2 linked regions of the Drosophila melanogaster genome follow. The protein of the gene in region 1 interacts with the protein of each later gene in a pairwise test. Each region holds a gene or a part of one and is shown on either strand. Other genes may lie near its edges.

Region 1 (7,234 bases):
ACATACAAAATGTACCTCGAATTATTTGTAGTCGCGAAACATTTCCAAAGCCTTCAAGTACCGATATCGTGCTCGCTACTAATTGCTTAATGTAAAATTGTGATGTGTTTAAACTTAGATACAAAATGTCTTGCAAATATATTTCTGTACTAACTAACTACCGCTGAATGCAAGCTTTTTTGAATTTGAAAGTGGTTTTCCAGCTCGATTCCTCGAAGGGTCAACGAAACTGTTAACGACAGTATAATAAAAACGAACGATAACACGGATGGAAAGTCTGTCATAGAGGGAAAACCTGTTGAGCTGAAAATCGTAACGAAAACCAAGACATTTCAACTGTTGAATACCAAAGAAAACCAGTAAAGAATTTGTATATAAATATCATAACTACATTTTATCTGTGTATAATGACCGAATTGCGAGTAATTACTTTTTTTATAACTGTTACAAAATAAATGGTTGCTTTTCTATACTTTCGACACAAAGTAATGTTTTGGAAAAGAATTTACTGCGTTCATTTGAATTCTTTTTATATAGCTATGCCGTTTAGTTCGTGTACTGATTCTTGAAGGTAAACTCAGGATGCCTTTCCACACTGTAAACAAAATAAAAATAAATAAATAAATAAAATAGAGGGATTAAAGCTAAGTCATATTTTTATACCCATGGAAGAATGCAAAGTCACAGATTCGAATATTCTGGTCCAGGCTAGACAACTTGGCCACCTCCTCGGCCGTCAGTTCGAAATCGAAGACGTCCAGATTCTGTTTAAGGCGAGCGGGATTCGTGCTCTTGGGAATGGCGGATACACCAGTGTCGATAATCCAGCGGAGGAGGACCTGCGCTGGCGTCTTGCCATGGCTTGCGGCAATCTCCTTCACCTCAGGGATGTCCATCAGGTCCGGCAGATCTCTCACGATGCCCGCTCCAGCATTAAACTTGGCGATTCCCTTGGATCCCAACGGGGAGTAGGCAGTTACGGTAATGTTTTCGGACTTGCAGAAGTCGACCAGATCTCGCTGCTGCAAATAAACGTGGTGCTCAATCTGGTTGTTGGCCGGCCGGATCTTGCAGTTCTTCAACAGACGGGCCACCTGATCCTTGCTGAAGTTGGATACCCCAATGGACTTGGTGAGACCCTTCTCCACCAGGGCCTCCATAGCAACCCAGATGGCTGCGTGGTTCGTGGTAACGTCGACCTCCATTAGGCCCTCCTTGTCGAGCTGAAAGTTAATGCTCGAGATGTGTATAGGAGTTGGGATTAGATTCCGTAGCACAACTACCTTAAAGCTTCCGTCCTCGTTGATATTAATTGTGAAGGGAGTGTGCACCAAATATAAGTCCACATAGTCCAGTTGCAGATCTTCCAGTGACTTTTTGATGGTTGGCTCAACTTCGTGGGGGCGGTTGGCTAAAACAAGGATTATATTATTATTATATTATTTTTGAAATAACTGGACTCGTAATAGTGAAAACTCTCACAGCTATATTTATAGTCATTCACATCAGGTTCATTTATCATATCAAAGAGTCATGTGGTGATAATAAAAATGTTTTTAAATTGAAATTATGAACACTGAAGGAGTCTATGTTGGTGTTTTAAAATCACGTTCCTAGTCTTATTTTATCAACTAGATATCAAAAAGAATATTGGTAGCTGGTGTAAAATGCTTTGGTTTCTATGGATCTTAAGATTCTGTGGGCATAGAACATAGGAACTATTTATAAATGTTTATATGGCATTTTGAAATACCATCCAACTACTAAATGCTACTTACAAACGGGTGGCACCTTGGTCACAATGAACAGCTCCTCCCGCTTGACCTTGCCGGCGTCCAGCCAACGCTTTAGGACTCTTCCGATGGCCTTCTCATTGCCGTAGACTGGCGCCGTATCTATGTGGCGATACCCAGCTTCCAAAGCCGCATCGATGGCGGTTTCGATTTCCTCATCAGATGCCTGCATTGTGGTGATGAAAGTGCGGTTTAGTGGTATTGTATATATATTGATTATAGGATTTGCATAATCTACACTACCCGAAAATCTTCAAACTCGATTTACAACGATATTTATTCTCCCGTGACCAGAGAAAGTCCAGTCCACCAGTGGATATGAATGGTGGTTTATTGTTTGTTTTTGAAAACCGGTCTAAAGTCCCCCAGCACCAACCAAATTGTTGATTGCATCGGAATCGGAATTTCAAGAGATTTAAATGACGTGTCAGCGATTTGTTGAGGTCATTAATAAGTTGAAACAATAGTATTAAGATTCGAATATCTACTATCCATTTAACCACTTACAAGCAATCTATGAAATTACAGAATTAACGTGATTATAAATACCTGCCAGGTGCCGATGCCAATCACGGGCATCTTCTCTCCATTGTTGAACGTTAAGAACTTGGTGTTGACCATTTTGTATTGATTTTTGATAACTTGTACACTAAAACAGACTTGAGTAACAGATTAAATGGAAAAGATGCGGCACAACCTGTTGCTTCGAGGATTGAATTGAAATTAAACAAGAAGCTACGACCCAGTCACCGGCCCACTTATCTCACCCAATCCAATGAGATTCTGCCTTTTGCAAAGCGCGGTCTTACTAGTCGATATTTGTTTAACAAAACAATCGAATTTAAAAATAAATGTACTTACCATAAATGGTTTAAGGCTCGTTTACTATAAAATATCGGACTAATTTATTTGCATTTTAGTTAGATTTAATATTATAACAATAGAAAAATTTGTAGCTCATATCCAAATACTGTATAAGTGTGTGTAAGAAAAATTCAATTCCGTTTCTAAATGATTTTAAGCTTTTAGAGAACAACTAATCCACCACTATGGAGAAGTTAGTGAACGTGAATTCTGAAAGTTCTGTAGTCTCACTGAAAATGCATTTGTCAATTCGACTGGTGGGGCTGCCGGTGTGCTTTAGCCAGAGGCGCCTGTAAAAGAACGGCTTGATAATTAAACGTTGAATGGAAAAAATCACTCACATGGACTCAAAGGAATGTCGGTGTGCTTGAATTTCGCCCTTCACCGTATTCTCGTTGGTGTTTTTGCACCAACCCCGGACTCCCAGCTTTTGAGCTCTTCGCAAGGTGTACTAAAACATGGTAATTGGATTACAGTAAAGAGATTTCACATATACAATAAGAGGTAGCAGAAAATCCATAGCTCAAAGGGGTTTTGAAGATCCCATTTCCCAGCAAGCTCTTACCATTCGAAATGAAACGCCTGTTGGTGCCAGATAACTAATTATTGCGACTATACGATTTGTGAATACCCTACCTTGCACAATGCCGAACACTTCGAATTGGCAGCTGAAGACCGGCTCATCGCTTCTGTCCGATGTTACTCTTTTTTGGAACTCTGTGTTCGAAATTCGGTTGGGCTCCTCGCTGCCTTTTTTGGATGGTGTACCTTTATCTGGTGTCGAAGATGGAAGAGTTACCCTCCTACGTTCACCCTCAGTCTGCGTTTCTTGGGAGGTCATTTTACAACTCGTATATTTAACATATTTGGAGCGGAAACTGTCAAAAATCGATAGGTCGATAGGGATTGAGGGTTTTATTTTGGGTCACCTTGAATTTCAATGGCTTTAAAAACAGTACATTTTAAATGAAATGACTTGAACAAGGTAAAACAAAAACAATAGCAAAAGTTACGTTTTCTTATTGTCAACAAATGAACACTTATGTTGAAAATTCGACAGCAATCCTAGAGCGGTATTTTTAGATCTAGCTTTTTTAGCCTTTTTTAAATCGTCGGTCGACCCGATCAGTCTGGTTCGGGCTATCGGGGCATGTAAGGGTCACCCTGTGTTCAAGGCGGTTCGTTGGAACCAGTTCCGAACTGTCTTTGAACAAAACAAAATCACCCAGACAAAATAGTGAATTACAAATATTACGCAGATTCTACATCAACGCACTATGCATACCGTGTACGCGCTTCTGAAGAACAAGCTGAGCGATGTGCATCCCCTACACAACATCGATCTGACGCGGGATGTGGCCTACCTAAAGGCGGTGGTGACCAAAGAGATGCACTTGCAATTCGACGCCAGCGAGTTGGGTGAGTGACCCTCGGGATTCAAATCGCTGTCCATTGTCTCTATTGTGTCAAGTCATTTGCTGCGCACTTGCAGAGATCATCCACCACGGACGCGTGCTGGAGGACGCAGACACCCTCAACCGAACGCTGCAGCCCAACGCCGTGATCCACTGCTTTCAGAAGATTAAACGTTACTCGCCGTATGTGCCGCCAGCCGCCGCCGAAATCAACACGAAGCATATTCAAGAGCTGTTTTCGTTGACCTCGCACCTGCAAATCAGCGTTACCTCGCGGTTCAACATTCTGCAGAAGATACTCGCTGAGTATCCGGAATTTAGGCGAAATCTGGGCGCCCAGGCCCTTATTCGCGACTCCGTACTGTTCAACATGCTGCACGAGCCGGAAGTGGTCCAAAATCTCGTTAAAGATTATCCCCTCATCTGCGAGGCCGCTCCATTCATAGTGGACACCATTCGCAAGGAGCTAGCCAGAAATAGCTCGGCCACGCAGTGTAACTAATGCCGTATCTATTCTTGATTTGTATATTTTACCCGTTTCTTCCTTTTTAGTGCAGGAGCAAGCTGCTTCGGAGTCTACTACTTCGTCAGAGGAGGAAAACTCTCTGGGTGCAGGCAGCAGCAGCAGTGGTGGAAGCAGCAGCACAGCCGTGGCAGCTGCCGCGGCCGCCAATCGGCGTGATGAGATGGCCAACATCCGTCAGATTAGCCGCCAGCAACTGGCTAACGCATTGGCTAACGTGACCCCGTTTAATTCACTGTCGAATATTGCGCAGAGAAACGCGGACGAGGCCGTGCAGGGTGATGAAAGACCTAGAACCACCTCGGCGCCATTAGCAGGCGTTGGAGGAGCAGCGGGAACAGGCGCAGGAAGCAGCAGTGGAGCCATCAGCAGCGGATCCATATCCTCAGAGTTGCTCCGCAACGAGCTGGCCCGCGCTTTTCAGTCCCTGTCGCAGGATCAACCGGCGCCTGTGGAGAACATGGAGGTGGAGTCCGGAGAAGGACCAGTACCAGAGCAAGCCGCCACAGCACCAGCCGATGATGTAGATGACGAGGACGATGGTGGAGACGACAGTGATGTGCTGCCACGCCGCTACCGTCGCCATCGGTTCACCGAACAACTGCGTACCATGGCCGCCATGGGCTTCATTAATCACACTCAGAACGTTAGTTATCTAGAACTTTCCGATGGGAATGTGGAACACGCTATTAATCTGCTTATGCTGAGCATGAATTAATAAGGATCGGAATTGACTAAAAAGCCAACATAATGTGCTTACTTTACGGACTTATATTTATTCTGCTGCTGAGGATTCTGAAGCATTAAACTCCCAACTTAAGCAAGGAATATCTCTTAATAACTTTTAATAATTAAATATACGTTTAGAGGAGTCATCTTTGTAAGCTAATTGGGGTGGGATTGCGGAGTTTGGGCATGGGGGTAAAAGCCGGCCGTACAAAAGGTTTCCACTAAATTATACTAGTTGATTAGATAGTCCAGCGCCTTGTCCTTATTATTGTTGAACTTGAGTAGCGCCGCCGAGATTTTCGATTCGTCAAAACCGAGGTCCAGAAGTTCTCCCAGTGGAATAAGGTGTTCGATAATCTGAAAAGACGTCCCAGATCGGAATAATGCATTTTGCAAAAGTTTTCGAAACTGACTTACCTTCTTATCGTCGATACCGCATAGACTAACCACCTTTGCCACCCGTTCCAGAGGGAAACCCATAGTACTGATACGTTGGGCCAACTTCTGTGCCGGACCAGCCAGCTCCCTAAAGGAGTTTCTGTCCACTGCCAACTCCACCGTTGGCTGCTGCTCCGCGTTGTGACTGTGCAGGCGGGTACGACGCTTCTCCGCCTGCTGCAGCTCCGTCTTCAGCTCCCGCAGGATGTCAGGCACACTCCTTGACTTCGTGGCTACCTCGTCCTCCGACTGGCTGAGCGCATGCACGGAGGAAGGCGCTGGAGGAGCCTTCAAAAGGTTTTGAGTCCCGAATCCATTGACTTGGTAGTTGCTAAACTGTTGGAAAGAATGCTGCTGCGGAGGGTAGAAGGGCTGGTGACTGTAGCCCTGCATGTGGTACACCTGCGAAAATAATAATTAGCCCATATTTTAAATCGGAGCGTCTGAAAAAAACTTATTTTCGATTGAAATAAAATATTGGGTATCGGACTAATACTTGGTTTATAAGACCATGCTAAGATCGTACTCAAGCTCAGTCAAAATATATTACACCCTCAATTGTGGTACTAATTAGTTTGAGCAATAGCCCCACCCTCGACTTGTGATGAGTTATTTATTTTTAGGTAATCTACCTGCAAATGCTCAGAAATCATCCCGATTAAATGGTATACTGTGAGTGAATGAACAATTTCCTCTTTTATTACAATTTAATGAGTAATGAGGATTGGATTTTGAGAATACAAGGATAGTGTGACATTCAAAAGAATCAAGTTAACATATTATTAAGGCTCTTTAACTAGTTAAAAGTGTCCCACCTGAAAGTGTTCCGGTTTATGCAACGGCTGCTGGGCGGAAGCGCTGTACATGGGCGTTAGGTATTGAGCCGTGGTTGGAATGTGGCTTGGCTCGCCCCTGTCCGCATTATCATCACAGTGAACATGGAAATTGACGCTGTCGAGCGTCGCTTTGGTCTCCGCCAGCGTAGTCATTGCTAGCTCCACCGGAGCTGGCACTTCATTGCCAGATTGCTCCTCCTTGGAATGATCCTCATGCGGCGGCTCCTGCTGCTGCTGATCCTGCTGCTGTTGATCTATGCGCTTCTCCAGCTGTGTCTGGTGCAGAACCTGAGCTAGTATGTCTAGATCGTTGATGGTCTTCAGCTCGATATTGTCGAAAGGTGTGGAGTTCATATTGTACTCAAAGTCTGCGTAGTTTAGGGAGCTGTTACGCTTGTGCAGCGTCTGCGGACTGACCACTGGAGTGGTGCTCAGAATGGTGGGCTGCAAGATATTGTGAAAATTACACACACTTATTGACTTTGGTTCGTGGGAAGAGTCGCGTGACTCAGCGGTGATTGGAGGTGGTGGCTGCTGTTGCTGTTCCTCGTCCCTCTGCTCGGGCTCGTTCTTCTTTCGCTCCTTCTCGTCCTCATCCGATGACAAGTCGTCCGCACTAGGATAATCAACTGCTCC
Region 2 (6,712 bases), on another chromosome or scaffold:
TCTGTATGAAACATTCGACCGCTGCCATATTGGGCTGGGCTATAAAAGTTATTAAACACCGTGACAAGCCTGGAAAAATGTCAGCTTAATGCACTAAACATTTCCTGAACCAACGAAAGCAATGTAAATACCCATTCATTGTTCTCAATTCCAATGATCGTCACGCACAGTGAACTAAAAAATGCGTTGCCAAAATTTTCGAAAAACAAAAGAATCGTTAAAAACTAAAAGATACACGCGCTGAAATCACAGATGTCCCCTGATGACGTCAATTGGCGGGGACATGGCGTCAGTACTTGGTACTTGGGGCTGCGGATAAGAAGCAATTGACCACAAGACAAGACCACCAACTGTTTGCTAGCCACTGACAGATTTGGCAATTAAAATGTCAGAGCACCAGGAAAAAGTTTCAAGGAACCGGGAAGAAATAACCAATAAACTGGCATACAAAGTTCGCCTATAATCATAATGCAACATGACTAATTTACTGGCACAAGCATGCACATATTCTTTGTGAATCATATGCATATGCGTTGCACATGCACTTAGCCTTAAGTAAACATACATTTCTAAAAATAAATGTAAATCCATTTTACCGACTAATGACTGGGCTTTATGATTTGCCAAAAATACATGTAAAATAGTCGCAGCTGTTCATGCGTGAGTTAAAAACATGCAATAATAACACAAGCAATCACAATTTCAAATTTAAATGATAGAAAAACATCTGTGCAATTCGCATTTTCACTTTTCTAATTTGTTGTTGTGTGCTTGACTTTTATTTTGCCTTTTCGCATGCAAATGAGCGTGCAGAAATGTATCTAAAGGCATTTGCAACTAACTGGCAACCGGGTGGATCCACAAGATACGGGTGATGTCTTCTGGAAAGCACTGGAAACCGGATTGATGAACTAGTTGGTATCCCTTATATAGCCATATTTTGTTTATGAGATGTTTATACGAGAGCTTATTGTGTTATTTGGATTAATATTATTATGTATATATTGTGCATTATGTGATCATACATTTAATATAACGTTTAATTTATTCAATTTATTTATTGAATTTATATTTTTGATTCTTTTTAGTCCAGTTCCATCATATCCCCTACTACCCTCTAGTAAAAGCAAACTAGTTGCCTAGAAGAATCTGCAGTTGCAGCTGGCCGCGCATATTTCAAGATCAAGGGCAGCCAGCAGAAGTAGAAGAAGAAGTAAGAACTTGAAAGCTGCCACATGCAACATGACATAATGATAGTCATTGTCCGCCCGTCTTGGCTATAAATAGCTTGGCTCTGAAGTCGGAGATCGGAAGATCGTTCGTACAGGGTGCTCCCTCCAGCCGCCCACATTCCGCAGTTGAGCTAATCTAGCGATAAATATTTACTTGGAAATTGCTCTTGCTCTGGCATTTTAGCTTTAGAAAATTTAGCTATATATTTATATAAATACAAATATATAGATATACTCGTAGCGGACTTACGACAATTCCAGGCCGTTGCGATTGGCATCCCCGTTCACGGGCAGCTCCGACAACTGAAATCCGCGATCCTGACGAACCATATATGCGGGCAGAGTGTCGATGATGGCATTGGCCTTATCATTATAAGAACCAAGTAGTTCCCGATATTTGGAGTACACTACGCGCTTCAGCTGCGGATTCTTGGATGACACGGAGGCGTTTGATGGCGACGGCGACGGAGATTGCAGCGTTGAGGTGGCCATTGCTCGCGGACTCTTGTTTACTTGTTTTAATACTTTTATACTAATTTATTTTTGTTGTACACTATTTTATCTGAATTTTGCTTTTACACTTGCATAGCACGAAAGTGGGTCGACTATCTTTAAAGCGGACCTCTATCTGCGAATGGGTACAAGCAAGTGGGTTTAAAGAAAGCCCAAAGCAAATTTTTTCCACATCATATATAAAACTATTAGGGCTACGCCGTAGTTCCTTCTGCTTTCTTTGCTGTCCAGATCTGTTTTGAATCGCTTTAGAAGTTAAACAATTGAAATGAAAATATTTGCAACCCATTTGCCAGGTTGCAAGTGCGCTTATCAGTAAATGTGCGCAGAACAAAGAGTTACAATTCAAGCAGCCAAGTACAATGGGTTGTACAATCGATTTACATTTGGCCGATCAGGGGACATGCAAACAAAGGTGCTGTATTGGAGCCTAGGTGGTCGAATGACTCAACCATCGATTGTGGGAATTGAATTTAACCTTTTTTGACAAGGGGCAGCCGACAAATGGTCTGCTGACTCACATCGGCGGAGAAGAATCACTGAAATTTTTGGGGGAACCTATAACAGAATCACTACTATGTGGACCAGCCGTTTTCCGTCTCGCAGAGATACGCTTACGCAGTTGAATTATTTTTAGGCATGAGCTAAAGTTGCTCCGAATTAAGATGGCATTTGCCCGGCCTTTCTGTTAGTATCCGACTTTAATCACTCACTCACTCACTAATTATTAAATTGAAAACACACGCGCTGCGCACAAAAAGTATCTCGTAGGTTCGTTTTTTTTATCTGTATCTGAGGAGCGCACTGGGCGACTGATCGCAGCGGACTCTCGAGACGCATTGAAGTCGGGTTCGGTTCGCCGGAGGTTGGACGGCACATCTGAGTTGGCTTGTTCGGCAACTTGTTGCAGATACATTTCCAGTCGCTTTGATGGTATTGGTGGTGCCGCAAAAGGAAAATCGATCGCTTGACAAACGGCCGACTGGCACGCGGACTGTATAGCAATTTATTTGTCTGTCAATGCAGTTCGATGATGGCGACAAATTTCCAGCTAAACGCCAAAAAGACTTTGCGACGCTTTCGTTTATCTGTATCTGGTATCTTTCGGCTGTATCTGCATCTCTTATCGTGCTACTAATTGTTTTCACTCTACTGTCATGTCGTCTGCTTATTACTTCTGTCGCTTTTCACGATTAAGCCAAATCGAAAGAACGGGTATCTCCCACTTCGGCATTATCTTTAGTTCGGGGGATTTCTTTATCGAATCTGCGCACTCGGCTTGCTCTAATTAACTCATTTGAACAATCATCTGCGGAAATGTGGCCCACTAGCCTTGACAGACAAATAAGATGTTATCTTTTCTGCTGTTTTTTTCTTTCAGTCTTATTTTCATTTTTTGCGACTGCTTTGTGCACAGTTAAATAATAATTGGCAAGAAAGCGTTAAGGAATTTAAAACGCGGAATGACTGGGCTAAAATCATTTTCTTTTGTCGCTCGACATCCACAATTTGTACGAAGTAAAAAACTTAAAATGCCACAAAGAAGGGGAAAGTCAAGAGACAACATCGGCAAACGATTATTGTGGATAGTTCTGGTCATCTACTTTCATTTGATCCCATTATATAGTTTTAACCATGAGCAAGAAAAGTATTTTTGTGTAGCTTTAATAATTTAACTGAACCATATCGACATTTTGGAATATCGAGCAGTTGACTGTAAATAAGTATATAATGAATGTATTTTTAGTATTGGATAATATAATCAACTCCATAAATTCCCTTAAAAGCTAAAGTCACTTTTTAGGAAATATGATTAGCCAAGCGTTTCCTTTCAAGTCACTGACATTTCATAGACATTACCAGATTTCTCAGTTTAATTTCTTAACGAATACTTGGAGAAATACCATTTATCCAGTTCAGAAACTATGGTAAGTTAAAACAAATGCAAGAAAAGCCGCGTGAACTGACCGTTCCATAAAATCTCAACCCCAAGTACCAACGATTCGCCAATTTGAATCTGGAGGCCCTCTATGGAATTCCGGCTATGTGTCCAGTGACCAATTGCCAGGCGCAGATGTCGCCACTCGAGATGCTGGCCCATCTGATGATGCGGCACAGTCCGCAGGACTCGATGATCGAGATTGCTGAGGACGTGCCCAAGCAGTACGAAGTGGATATTGATAAATTGACACCGGGTCGAAATCATTCGATTGGAGTCATCGCCTATGAGGGAGCCCCAAAGCCGGGTCTTAGTTGTGCTGTTACTTCGGATCTGCAGATTGTCCACCATCTGCCCATTATCCTGATGCTCTATGTGAGCCCTCCTATTCTGAACACCGAGCAGGCCTACATCTTATACCTGGTGAGTGCTGTGCCCTCCAGTCTGGTGAGTGCCAATGTAACACTCCTCGACGGATTCCATGCCCACGAGAAGCGCGGATGGCGTTGCCTGCGCAATTCCCTGGACAGTCCATTGATGGATAGTCAGAATCGGCTGTATTGCAACACGGACTACCTCCTGTACACGGCCACCGACATTCGGGAGCTGTGCCTCTCCGGAGAGCAGCGTAGGATCTTCGTCAAGATCGTGCTACACGGCGAGCCCGATCCCTTCCAAGTGGACGCCTAGCAAAAGGTGTCCGGACGAGTGACTCATTTGGTTCAATAAACACTTAAGTGCTGCGCCGCCAATTGACGCACACTTGAAATTCGAGTGGCTGTCAATAATATTCGTTCCTCAAAGAACTGTCAGTGAAATTGGTTTCCCTATTCATTCAATATTTCTGCTTTGGCTGGCCAGAAACTGGGTCAGACAGAGATATTTGGTTTTGTGCAGACATCAATCATGGGGGCCATCTAATTAGTTAGCCACAGGCCTCTGATTGCGGAAAATACTAGAGTCATTTCTTCTGACCGTGAAGAATGGGATTTTTAATTATGTGTTAAATGTTGCTGTGCTCTTTTTGAAAAAAACAATTTCGTTTGATTTTCTCTTTTCACTTTCGTTTCATTTTGTGACCCACTTAGTTGCAGTAGGTTCTTAAATGCAATAGCTTTTTAAAACGATTTTATAAACAATATAGCTAAACATTAAAATAAATGTATTTTTTAGCAAAGTATAAAACATAAGCAAATGCTTAGATCAACGCCTTTAGGTCTAGCGGTTAATCTCATAAATTATCCGAAACTATATAGAAATTAAAGAAACGCAAGAAACATAAACACCTACAAACACACAGATGCGATGCTATTTATAAGAAACTTAATTTTGCAAACATAAAACGAAAGAAAATTTATACCCCATTAAATACGAAACGATCTCTCACGGAAAAGTAAAAGGAAAAACAAAGATGGATAATCCAATAAAAATTAGCGTTTCACCAACAACACCCACAGCCCAGAAGACACAAGCGTGTATAAAACTATAATATTTCTGGCTTTTTTTTTGTTGTATCTGACCTTGAAAAATTATCTGAACGGCGGCGAAAAAAGTTTTACGTACGAAAAAAAAAAACAAAAATCAAAGAAAAACAAACGCAATCAGGGAAGCCATTCATCACTTTCTACGGCCACTTGAGTGTGCAACTCGTTTTGCATTTGTCATTTAGCTGCGTTGATTGCATGACATGAGCACATCAGACAGGGAGCCGTTGGGTTTGCGATTGGGATTGGGATTGGGATTGGGAGTGGGTCTGGCTCTTGTCGGTACTCGCAATTATTTATATTAATCTGGCCTGGGTCAACGTCAGCGAACCCAGGTGAAAGCGAAAACGCAGACTCTGCCCCAAAAGCCCGTTGCACAATCGATGGCGGTAATATTTCTCATTCAGTTGCCTTGCGGAATATATGCGCATACAAACGCGAATTTCTGTGTATTTTTCCTACCATGACCACATGTCGTCATTCACCGTCGGTCGTTTTTGGTCAGATAGGCAACCAAATCCCGCCAGCGCCTTTTTTTTCGATTTTTAACTTTTTTCCTGCAGCTCGAATTTGGTGCTGGTTGAAAAATTGCCATGTTATTGATTTGTAAAAAATGAAAAAAAAAAATTAAATATAGCCGCGCCATGAAAATTCGATATTTGTTTGTGGAGAAAGTGTGAAGGAATAAATCACGCACAGCAAAGCCATTTTCCGGGAAAACAAATAAATAGTAAAAATCATGGAAAAATCTGAGCAATAGTTCTTATAAAATTCCCCAAAACAAAATGTAAATTTAAACGTAAGCATAATTCAATAAATAATTAAATTGCAGAAATTGTTCTTTACGTTTGACTGCGAATTAATTGTGAACTTTCCCTTAATTAATTTTAATTCAGAGTGTATTGCTGAAGAGAAGTCATAAAGGCAAAGTGAATCATTGAATCAACTATCATGGGAACGATCTAGGTACATTCACATCGCTGTCCAATAATCAATTCCCAATGCTGTTGAACTGTCATCTGGGTGTGGCTTTATATCTTGTGCCTTATCCACTTGGGAATCTTCCTTTGAGTTTAGTACCCTATTTCGCATACAAATTTCACGGTCAACTGCGACCAACTTGAACTTGGGACAAGAAATCTGTTTACGTATTTTACAAATGCAAAAATTTATAAAATAAATAAACTCACACCTGATTTACGCAATCAACAAAAGTGAAAAATAAACCGACAAAGAAGTGTGAAAATAATTGTCGTTGACAAAAATCAAAGTCATGTTCGGCAATGCATCACAGTCTCGGGCATTAAAATGCGAATAATAATTTAAGCTAAAATAAACATTAACACTTTAAAACCATGTACATGGTCAATATTTGTCCCAAGTTCACACGTAAATTTTGTAAGTACCTATAGTCAAGATATTACAAGATATATATTTCATTTATATGTTAAACGTGGCGTATACTTGATGCTTTGCCGAAAGTTTGACGATGGAATTTGTCTAAACTTCAGAAAGTAGAATATAAACAATGAAAATTATGAAAA

What was found. Proteins that work in one complex are often made in the same cells at the same time.
Region 2: the proteins of CG3223 (region 1) and CG31848 interact in a two-hybrid assay, tested with the Drosophila melanogaster proteins (one large-scale study listed by BioGRID).

The regions. Positions count from the first base shown.
Region 1 is NT_033777.3:8,005,554-8,012,787, forward strand, and holds CG3223 (uncharacterized protein), read left to right. Parts: upstream 1-3,846; 5' UTR 3,847-3,934; coding exon 3,935-4,076; intron 4,077-4,149; coding exon 4,150-4,566; intron 4,567-4,624; coding exon 4,625-5,313; 3' UTR 5,314-5,465; downstream 5,466-7,234. Other genes in the region: CG2698 (uncharacterized protein), read left to right, coding at 204-363; CG2767 (uncharacterized protein), read right to left, coding at 547-595, 664-1,223, 1,284-1,411, 1,779-1,959, 2,343-2,414; CG11052 (uncharacterized protein), read right to left, coding at 2,830-2,947, 2,999-3,108, 3,223-3,239, 3,294-3,498; CG10435 (uncharacterized protein), read right to left, coding at 5,556-5,681, 5,742-6,164, 6,578-7,234.
Region 2 is NT_033779.5:13,262,743-13,269,454, reverse strand, and holds CG31848 (uncharacterized protein), read left to right. Parts: upstream 1-3,578; 5' UTR 3,579-3,670; coding exon 3,671-3,673; intron 3,674-3,738; coding exon 3,739-4,374; 3' UTR 4,375-4,459; downstream 4,460-6,712. Other genes in the region: CG44085 (uncharacterized protein), read right to left, coding at 1,483-1,724.